Neodiprion lecontei: one gene and its partner. The protein of the gene in region 2 interacts with the protein of the main gene of each other region in a pairwise test. Links are inferred from orthologs where the notes say so. Each region holds a gene or a part of one and is shown on either strand. Other genes may lie near its edges. The genes, in order: beta-arrestin-1 and protein deltex.

Region 1 (5,015 bases), on a different chromosome or scaffold from region 2:
CCAAATATGCGAGTATGTTGTGTGTGCTTATTACGGTTTACTGAATTTCGGAAAATCCGTAATAACAATTTTTTAGAATAATGAATCGTCATATCTCAACATTAGAAAATTCAGGCTGATTCCGGAAAAAGATTTGAGAATGTTCTGCTGTTCCGTTAGAGATTTTCGATAACAATACGACACAGAAAAGCAATCGAAGGGAAAGTAGTCTACGGTTATTCGAGATATGGAATTTCCCATAACTTACGTGTCTACATACTTGTTACGATAATCATACTCGCATTTGATACGGTATCCAAAATACGAACTATTATCATTACTTTATGAATTTCCGCTGTCCATTATGCTGCTACTGTATATTGAATGATGACAAAAGTCTACAGCCCACGATTTGTTTCGTAAATCTACATTTGTGTGTACACAGGTATAAAGAGACGACAATACCTATAACCTGTCATGATGATGAGGAATTGAGCAATTCAAATTAATAAGGTTCGTTGTCGAAAGAAACGTTTATTTAGAAATTTTAGGATTGTTTGAAATTCACCAATTTCAAACCGCAATAAAGCAAATCACGGTCATATTTTTTAATATCAACTACTTCCAACTAATTCTGAATTCGCATTGTAGTGAAACGCTACGAACTTCCACCTCTTTCAAGTTAAGGAAGAATTTGATGCGTGCATTCCCAATTATGCTCAGTTGACTCACAATATCGGTTAAGTCAGCTTTAACCGGCGCCAAGGAATTTTGCCACGCCGTGAGAGTTGTACGAATTATGTACGAGTTGTTGCTATGAGATGCTTTCAACTATTCAATAGACTTCATTCTACGACGGGCTCATTTCATTCAAAAGACTATATTTTCTACAAAGGCAATAAAACAGATCATTTTTACACTACTCAACTCGATATTGCCATTTTTTGATCATAATCAATATCGCTAAAATATCGTATTGTATTGTAATTTGTGAAAAGCGAAAGTCTTCTAAATATAACGAACCATCGTAGAGTGAAATCGAATATAGATCTATTATATTCTTAGCCATTTCGAAGCGATTTGAAACGAAGCATTGATATCCACGCTGTTGTTAATGTTTCCAACATTTTATATTTTTATATTTTTCATGAAATCTTCGTAGCTTGCAAATATGATAATTTGACAAACAGTAAATGTGCGATTATCTCGGAGTAAACTTAATAAAAATATTTCGAATTATGGGCAACCAACCACATTAAGTAACGCCTAATGAGGTTTCCGAAGAAACATGTAAACGTTAAGAAAATGTTCGCACAGTACCGTAGGCTCCGAATTTTCCCACGGTACGAAGTATTTCGGCTATGTGAATTCAGTTATAACCGATCTCAAACACATCCTACACTTTCTTAACGGATGAATGAGGATGTTACGTGAAGCATTCTAACACTCGCTTCGTGCATTTCGAGTAAGTAGTAGCAGCTCTATGGATTTCGTGGGAAGTTCCCACGTTATGCATCTAACAGGTTGGGGTAGGTCAAGTCTTTGTATACCTTTTTTTACACCACTTTTGATTCCTTCGACTAATTTCTCATACAATAGAAGAATTTTTCTACCTCTTCACTTTTCCCTCTTGTTTCTTTATATTTCTGTCGACGTTTTCATTTTCTTATCAGCGGTAAAGTTCATTACTCACGTAGGTTGTGCGATGACTGTTTTTGTTAAACATAACCGCGATGCATTATAATAGTAATAATATCGGTATCAATAATAATAACAACGACAACAACAACAACAATAATAATAACAATAATAATAAAGTTAAGATCCTCACTGTCAGCAAGATTTAAGTGTTTCACTTTGTTTCCGGCAGCGTTGGAAAAAAAGACATTACTATTTGTCATCAGGTGCGATCTAATCAGCCTTTTCCTCAAACTAAACTGGTGGTTGTGATAAAAGGAAACCTACGTCATTCCGATTCTTGGAATTCCGAAGCTTCGACAGATTTATTTGTTGATGCGAAACGACACCTCCTTGAAAGTGTTAATTAAAATCTCGCGCGCAATTGGATATAAATTTCGAAATTAATTATTCGGTCCCGCCACGCCTCCTAGAGCATATGTATAGTATTTGTTTAATAACCCTCGACCGTCCTAAGAGGCCGTATTGAGTAACGTAGGGTAGGACGAGTACTATTCGCGGGCGATAATCACAAAGTTGAAAAAAATTCCGAGAATTCTGACAGCGCATTTCTGGCGTCTGACGTCGTCGGTCGAGGGATCATGGGGACGAGGAAACTGAAAGAAACGAGTAAAAAATCACAACGAAACGCGGCGACGTACATACATTCATAGTATTCATACGTCAAACGTTGTTTGCCCGTCACTCAGTTGTTACCAAGAACAGCATGCAGGCGTAGATAGACCTCGATGAAAATCGTGTATAAAATAAATTTGTAAAAAGGTATAAAAAAAAAAAAGTATCTATGTACCTAAACGATAAACGTAGTGAAACAAAAATAGAGCGAGGGAGAGGACTCACCTAACTTGTCCTAGAGACCCCGTAGTTCCACACCCTTTTGCGATCGGCAATGAAAATTCATAGGCGAACGGCACCACAGTTTCAACACTCGATGAACTCACACTGCACCGGCATCGGGTTTATTGTAAAAAAAAAAAAAAAAATACAACTAATCGATACGTCGAACGGTTACAAAACTACGCGTTTGTATGTTTCAAACACAAAACGTACGTAGAGTACGGAAGGTACGATATCAACCAGCGAAGATACACATCCCGACTCTGATTACTGTGAACAAGTGATCTCGATTCCTCGATACGTCACGTCCGCGCCGTAGATGCTGGCGCCACAGGATAGATTTTACATAACCTTGTCGTGAAAAAAAAAAAAGACTCGCTTCGCGACAACCGCCGCAGATTAATATGACTTTGAAGCTGTGCGAGATCTTATTTTTCTCTCTGATATATCGGAACGAGCAAGACAGCGTCTCGGAGCACGGCGGATATGTTCTCTCGCGTCGGTTTATTACTGTCAAAGTGTCGACTGACCTAACCTCTCCCTCCCAAGTCCCGCTCGAGCCACCGCTCAAGTCGAATATCGACCGCAACCCCCTCCCTCCGCCCTCCGGCCGCTCCCCCCGCCGTCAAGTGACTAACTTCGTTCGCAACGTATTTGCCGCGACGCCAGTTGCGTGCTGGCCGATGCTGATGCCTTGTGCATCGCCTTGTGTGCGTCTGGTATGCGTAACTCGTAACGTGATACATGCGCCCTGGCTGACTCGCTACGCGCGCTGACCCGTTCTTTGTAACCGCTTGCACGAGCCGCCGATGGTCACGGACGAAAGAAAACATACGTCTACTTACTTTACGAAAGCTCTAATTTGATGTCAATAACTGTTATTTGATCTGTAAATTATTTTTACTGTACACTTCTTTGTCTATAAAAGTTATGAGAATCGATATTCAGCGCATGAATTCTTTGTTCATCGTTAATTTATTATTTACCCCTTGTGTATAATATAATGTCACTAAATAAGGATTTTCTCAGTGGAGATACTGTTTGCCTTATGTGTGCATTTGTGCACTAGTACACAGTCGTTATCTTAGGTTTCTGGTGCAGTTATACTACATGCAGTTTTTACATACACCATGGACATAGAGCGTGGATCACGCATACGGCGCTGACGTGTCCGGAAATGGGAGAGAGACAGAGCTATACCAGTGTATAGTAGAGATCAGTGATACCAACATCTCTTCCTATACTAACTGGATACCGTGTTATTTTCTTTGTTGCGTGTAGTCAATTTATCCATTACCGCGGGTAATTCAAATAATCATCGAAAATATATTTTGTGGGAAACCGTGGAAATTGCTTTAAAAGGAAATAGTATTCGAGGGATTCTCTATTTCAAATATTGTGCTGAAGTTTTAATCGTACTTACTACCAAATTTACATGAGAAAATAAAAAATATGAAATATACGCGGACGACATAACTAGGTTGACTGAAGAACATATCAGTTATATCATCATGGTACTGAAGAATATTTCTTCAGTCAAATTATTCTTGTTACAGATTGTCAAACTATGTCGATGTATCGTTTCACAATTTGTAACAAGAATGATCAATAAAAAAATAATGGACCTTTGACCAGACTTCTAAATTTCATTCACAATTGAAGTTATGTAAATGTAAACTGTCTCTATTTCGGACGTCCATTTGGCACAGTTGTAGACATACTCCATAATTCTGCACTCTAAATTGATTAATTGGATACAATTCCAAAGGCGAGTGTTTCAAATGGATGTTGCTAAACTTCGTTCGAAATCCTGCTAGCTATTAATAGATTGAAATTGGATCACTTATCAAAGTTTAGTCAGGATAATTGATCGAAAGCATCCTATCGGGGGATTCCTTACTTGTAGAAATTAATGATTCTGGAAATGACTACGAAGTCTAGTTTTGTTCTGAATATTCCTCTCCACGGCAATTATCTAGTGAATATCTCTTTTACGAATAAGAGCCTGCACATTGGGATGTTTTCGAGTAAATAAAGAAATATCCTAGCAGGGTACAGCTTTTCTATTTGGTTTGCTTGTAGCTACGTTACATATGGTTACAGAACATGGATCTTTGCTGCTTATGTGGATATATAGCTTGGAGACTTAATTAATGCGATACTTCTCTGTGATATCGAGATCGGATATTTTTCCAATAAGGAATTTTTCATTCATGATTTCAAGTTTCTGTAAAAATCTTGACTGCAGAAAGAAATTAGCTCCTTAAAATGGCGGTGTAATAACAAGAGAATCGAAACTAATGTTATTAGCATGATATTCGTAATTAGAAAATACCCATGATGCTTCATTTCACCCGCGACTAAACCGAATGGACAAATAGGAGAACATTTTAAAGATTTTAATATTTCATTCCATTAAGTTTTTTCGTTCGATTCTTAACTGCTCACTGACAATCCGAGGACTTTGATATCAATTTTAATTTAAAACTGTACAATCTCCG
Region 2 (6,247 bases):
AATTTCATCGTTTACAGGGTTCGTTTAAATCAGAAAAATCAATCCTCGGCCATCTTGAGCATATCTGGAGTCCCCCTGATCACAATGTGATAGAGTTGGCCTTACTTCACACCGTTGGGCGATCATTTTAAATGATGTTATGGAGACATAATCAATTGTCAACATTCTGCCATTTCTTTTTTTTTTCTCACTCCCTGACTTTTGTAATAATTAACTCACTGGTAATTTATATACGCATGACTTGCAAACGAACATCGCCACGTATGTTTGCCGAGTTGCCGCAGTTCTCGGCGCCAAGAAATTTGAATTATACCACGGATTACCAAAAAGTGTCCAAGTCGTTTCGATATCCTTCACGAGTTTGGGCCGATTAAAATATGTATTTTTTAAATTTCAACTCAGAATTCAAGCTCATAATAATACTCCCGATAATGCGTATCTGTGTTGGCATATATCATCTGGCTATACTGATACCAAAAAACGCTACTGGAGTATACCATAAAGAATTGAGTATCCCAAATCATTAGATATAGCATGAATGTACTTGTTTTTGTATCTGCTTTGAATTCTGCGGGATTTGCACTATTCGGAGAATTCTCAGACTTTCCAAAGCTTTGGGTCCCTTCTCTGATTGTGATTAAGTAGACCCTGGCCGTCTATCTGCCAACCTGACTGAAGTATCTGTCAGTATGTTGAAATTTGTGCAATATCTGCTAGTGTCCAAACACGGCACTCGCAAGGTACATACAGGAAGAACGAAAAAGGTTGGTTATTGGTTGAATCTGAAATTAGTTAAATTACAATCTGATGAGAAAGTGTAATTTGTATATTTTATACTAATTGTTATATTTATTTAATATATTTCTATCATAAATATATCTATATATCTATTTTCATTAATACCATTTTGATGGAGTATAAATCTACGTATATGTATATAGTATATAATATTTTTCTGGAAGCACGGATCACCATTCTCCTCATAGTATTTTGTTCCATTTAAAATTTAACGCAAGGTAAATTAACATTTCGAGATTATAGCAGACTAAAAACAACCGCACGAATATAATGCTGCAGATCCATTTAACTACACAAAATTTGAGAAATATATTTCAAAAAACTTGAAAAAAAATGTGCGGAATACACACACACACACATGCTAACGCACACGCACACACGCACACGCTCTCACGCTTATATGTAAGTATAATATAAAGCTATTAATATTGAATTGCAAATTAAAGCTATTACGCCAACGATAATTATTGTATAATACGTAAGGCATTGTTGAGACCATCTTGCATGTCCCAAATAGTATTAATATTCGCCAGAATTTATTCACCACGAAAAAAAATTGATTTCTTGTTTGGCAGACTGTTTCCTCTTGTTCAGTCAGTCTTTTCTCGTCAGTTTAACTGCACAGCTGCTCAGCCCAACCCTGATCTAAAGAATATTTTCGCAAAGCGAAAACGTCGAAATACCTGAGTCAATGAAGCTCTTGGTAGAAACCAGTCACTGATTGGCCATCGGAAACTCCTTGTGCCGCGAGTTCCGCGAGCGTTCGTTCCAAGTATGAAGCATCGGGATACCCATGTCCCAAGGTCGACGGACCTAACTCAGTTTTATGATGAATTTCGTTCCAGGTAACGACATCTTCTCGGCCCGTAGTCACTGACCGTCCAACGGTGAAGATCAACCTTCTCTCGAAAGCGATTTGCAGTAGTCTTAGGACTTTTCTGCCTGTGTCGTTGTCGGGGAGATAACAAACTCGAGGAAAGCCAACTGCGTAGTATGTTTGGCCAGGATTTGGGTGCTCAGGACCCTGAATTCCTGATGGAATGCTAGAAACCAACAAGAAACGCGTAAAATCGAGAAAACCGAATGAAATCAAGTCAGTTTTGCGAGAATGTTACGCCTACTTACTCGTAAGTTATTTGAATTGTGTTCGTGTTCGGGAATCCAGGAAGAGACCGCGGTATTCTGGTCCAATTCATTGTCCCTGGAGGTTGGTTTCCTCTCTTTTCTCCATATATCAATCGGCACACTGGACACTGTATGTACATTGGTTGCTGTTGTGAACTAATCATTGCGTTTAGACACGCTAGGTGTAACCTGTGTCTGCAGCGAGTCAACTCGACTGTCAGAGGCTCAGGAGAGCCCAAACAAACAGGACACGAATCAGCACCGGCACTTTCAACCACCCTTACATACTGAGATATGACATCAGGAGCTTCGACTACAACGCCTGAAACGAATGATTGGCCTTAATGTTGGATGTACTCTCTTTCTTGCAATATGTTGAGTAAGCTTCTTGCTCACCAATAACTGAATCCTTGAAGGCATCGTCACTCCCTACACTGCTGTCTAATAAATCAACATAATTTTCGTGACTGAGATAGGTGGATACTGTATCAACGCTAGGACGCCGACCACTTTTGGTGCTGCTTGAATCAATGTCTAGTAAATTGGAATCCCGTGTCTTGCGTTTTTGAACTGGTTCTGTAGTGCTTTCTACTGGCACGTTTTCCGCATGCTTATTACCGAAAATATTCAAGTTATTCAATATCACACGAGCGATGTTTGTTGGTCCTGTATCGCCATGTTTTCCCTAAAAAAATGTTATGCTTGAAATCATTATAGGTTCTGATCAAGTTTTGACTCTAGTATTGATGTAAGCTTTCAAAGGTTCTTCTCAAACCCATTTTATGAGATGATTCAACTACTTTACTAATCAATCATCGAGCACTTTGCATTACCTTCTTGCTACTCTTCTTTCCAGTCCCATTGGGTAATTTCTTATGTGTTGGTTTAGCATGTGGATTTTTGACAGTTCCATTTAGTCCTCTTCTTCCAGTAGTCGGTGGCAATTCCTCAAGCGCAACTTTCACTAAAGGATACGGTGCCTGCTGTATACGTCTGATCGGGCGTACATAACCTGTGCAACATCTAACTTGAGTAAGGTTGCAAAAATTTATTATGTAAGGAAAGCCGAGGTATGTTTTGGAAACGTCAATTGTTTTGTCACCCTGGAAAAATCAAAAGGTAATAAATTAATTAAGAGAAATATTGCTCTTATACGATTTATAAATATTCGAACCAGAAAAGTTACATCTTAGAATTTTTTAAACGCACCCGTGCCCATGCTTCCTCTATGAGGCACTGGACCTCCATGTCGTAAGTGTGCCAATCGTCAGTGTCACCGACCCATTCCCACTTGGCACCTTTTCCTGCCGGTGATCCAGGCAAGTAAAATTTTCTCCTAACGTTATGAGTTTCCGTGCCATCGTCACTGCACTGCGTCTTTGTCCTCAGATTGATGTAGTATCTGATACAGACGAAACTGTCGTTTTTTTTCATAACAGATGGAAAAATACACCGAAAACTAATCAAGTCCTAGCAAGAAGACCTTGCAATACCCAATAAGCAATACTGAGAAGAATACAAGTGTGTACGCAGAAATATGTGGCTATTTTTCAGGGAACGAAATTCTCAAGCTTGCTATTATTAAATCCCAAGCATCGTGGAACCAATCGAGCTGAAATATTTAGACTATTCAATAATTTATATCATCTTCTCTTGGTAACTCAACGAAGGAAGAATTCAACTTTCCAATTTTCAATAGAGAATCGTTCCAAGTAGCATCTAATGGTGGGGTAAGATCGGGTCAGTTTTAATCTTTTACGGTAAATACGATTTTAGATAAAATATGAATATCAGGGTACGATTAAAATACAAAGCAAGCTGCATGGTAAAAAAAAATGACAGAGCTCATAGAAATGATCCATTGCCATTTTAGTGTAAATTTTATTTTCTCATACCTGTCGAGGCTCGGATCTGCGTCGTTCAAGAATACCCTGGTAAGTTTTTTGCAATGGGCTCTCTCCAGGTGCTGGGAAACCGCCGGACTGTACGGCCTCCATCTAGCTTGTCGATTTTCCCATTCCCACACGACGACTGCGTGCCCACTCATCTTCCTCGATCCTTCAGGTTCGAGTGAAGTGGGTGAAGATGAGAATGGTGTAAATAGAACGGTCAACGGTCAAGGCCGCTCTCACAGGACGCTGAGCGCCGCGAAAGATGAACTGGGACGAACGTGGCGATCAACTCGGTTCGACGTGACCGTGGGAACATTTTTCGAATTCATACAGCTCCGCCCGCACACCGTAGAGAGTATCGGTGTTGTCTGTCCTCCTCCCCTCCGCCCCTCTCCACGATCCTTTTGTATACGTCTGCGTAACGAGAACGTAAATATTGGAGTTTCAGTTTACTCCGTATTAGCCGACGGGTTATTCGCTAAGTAACGGCGATCCGTTTTCTCGCTCTGTTTCATTTACCCTTCGATGACTGAACAATCGACTTGAAATCACCGGAGTCGGCACAGAATTAAAAGAGAAAAGGATGGACGCTGCTTCCTCCAAGCGCACTTGTCACTTCCCAGCCTTCCCAGCATCCGACTCCCCTAGCCAGGCTTAACGCCGAGGAGAGAATTTACTACAATTTTATAGTTCTCACTGTTTTTCACTTGAGAATTGCAATGCACGTTATACGATGATAAACGTTTCCGTGCACATTTGTCATTGTCAACTATTCCCTTTATCGAATTAGTTGATTACGGTTAACAATCTGATGAATTAAATTCCTGCATTATACGTTACGATTGTATGCATAGTGTTATGCACACATAGGTACACAACGCACATGTATACATTAAACATGGCATAAATGACACCTGTCGACCCTTTTTTCTTTACATTTATCTCGTAAGATTCGAAAGTCAGAATGCAGAGCTCACGTCGTTTTTTTTCTACGAATTCGAGATGATCAAGTGTAACGGCTCTGCGTAATTCATAAATTTACAAAACATGGATAGGGTTCATTGCTCTACATTTTTTTTCCAACGAGCCAAGTATGCGTTTCCGATTCCTGAATTTCTATTCGAAGGGTTGGCAAGGCTGTCATTGCCCATTTGTATTGAGCATTGACCACTTCACCGTTCGTCGGAGACGGCTCTGCACAATTCGGGTCGGACCCGTACTGTGGATTAAAAATACAAGAAAAAATTTTGTAAACAGAGAAGTGGCAAAGTAGCCGTCTCAAATCGTGTCTTAGGCAAATGAACTATGCGGTGAAATGATCGGGCGATGAAGACTTGCTGTAATAATGAAATAACGCAGCTCATTCTCACACGATATATCACAAATAGGTTATAACCGTTTCTGCTGGATATCTAACAATATTTAATATTGTTTCTACACTTCAACTTATAAACTTCTACGCAAAATGGATGTTGAGAAAATTGCTATGGTCGCCGGTGTCGGGTTTGCCCTTGTTATCGGCGCTTTTGTACTTTGGGGACCTTCGCCTAGGCCTAGGCGAAGAGGTAATAGCATACAAGTAGCGATCGACGATTGTCTCCTTTCCTTCACAAGTCTTTCAATTGATGAAGTCATTTTTAATATTATACAGTAATGAACCGTTGCCCGTTTTATCCTAATTACTCAAAAAACTAGCTTGTTTACCTATAATCATTCCTCTTGGAATTTATGTCATTGTCGTTATTCTAGGCCAAATTATTGGACTCACCAATCTAGGATACACTTGTTTCATGAACGCGCTTCTCCAGTCTCTAGCAGCGTGTCCAATGTTTGTCGGCTGGCTTCGGACGCAGCTTGTCAACAATGAAAATGGCCAATTTGCCCGGAGCCTTCTCTCCATTCTAGATAGTAAGCTTGCTCTCGTTTTGAGTACTGCATAAACAATTGTAACAAATATGTAAATGATTTTTATTGTTAAGAGGTAAATGGCTTCTGCGACGAAATGATATATGGAGACGTAACACCAATTGAAATAATAACGTCCCTTGGACCACTATGGATCTTCACACCTGGACACCAAGATGCTCACGAGCTATTCCACGTTGTACTCGGTGCTCTGCAGGCTGAAATGCAGCCACTTAACAGAGTGCGTACAAAGCAAAGAATTTTTTTTTCCTTTTCAGCATAAGGAATGCAAATATGACTTTGGCTCTTGAAAGACTGAAAGTGCCAGTTTAACTAACAGCTGGATATTAATTGCAGAAAGGTTGTCTGTCGGACGCCTTGCCTAAAACTGACATTCCTGTGACGTCCGATATTAGGGGATCCGGCGATCCATTTGGGATGCGGACAAGTGTGTCTTGCAACGATATTACAAGGAAAGATGAGGCTCGAGAATCAGATGTACACAATACCTGTCTTCCCGATCAAAT

The links.
Region 1: the proteins of protein deltex (region 2) and beta-arrestin-1 interact in a two-hybrid assay, tested with the Drosophila melanogaster proteins (2 studies listed by BioGRID). The link is inferred for Neodiprion lecontei from reciprocal best matches to the Drosophila melanogaster genes dx and krz.

What each region holds. Positions count from the first base shown.
Region 1 is NC_060263.1:23,041,409-23,046,423, forward strand, and holds the start of beta-arrestin-1, read right to left. Parts: upstream 3,079-5,015; 5' UTR 2,518-3,078; intron 1-2,517.
Region 2 is NC_060264.1:2,162,119-2,168,365, forward strand, and holds protein deltex, read right to left. Parts: upstream 4,275-6,247; 5' UTR 3,971-4,274; coding exon 3,819-3,970; intron 3,341-3,818; coding exon 3,133-3,340; intron 3,027-3,132; coding exon 2,757-3,026; intron 2,609-2,756; coding exon 2,320-2,608; intron 2,246-2,319; coding exon 1,924-2,245; intron 1,842-1,923; coding exon 1,487-1,841; 3' UTR 1,482-1,486; exon of another isoform or gene 860-1,481; intron 783-859; 3' UTR 545-782; downstream 1-544. Other genes in the region: ubiquitin carboxyl-terminal hydrolase 30 homolog, read left to right, coding at 5,281-5,380, 5,565-5,723, 5,795-5,961, 6,078-6,247.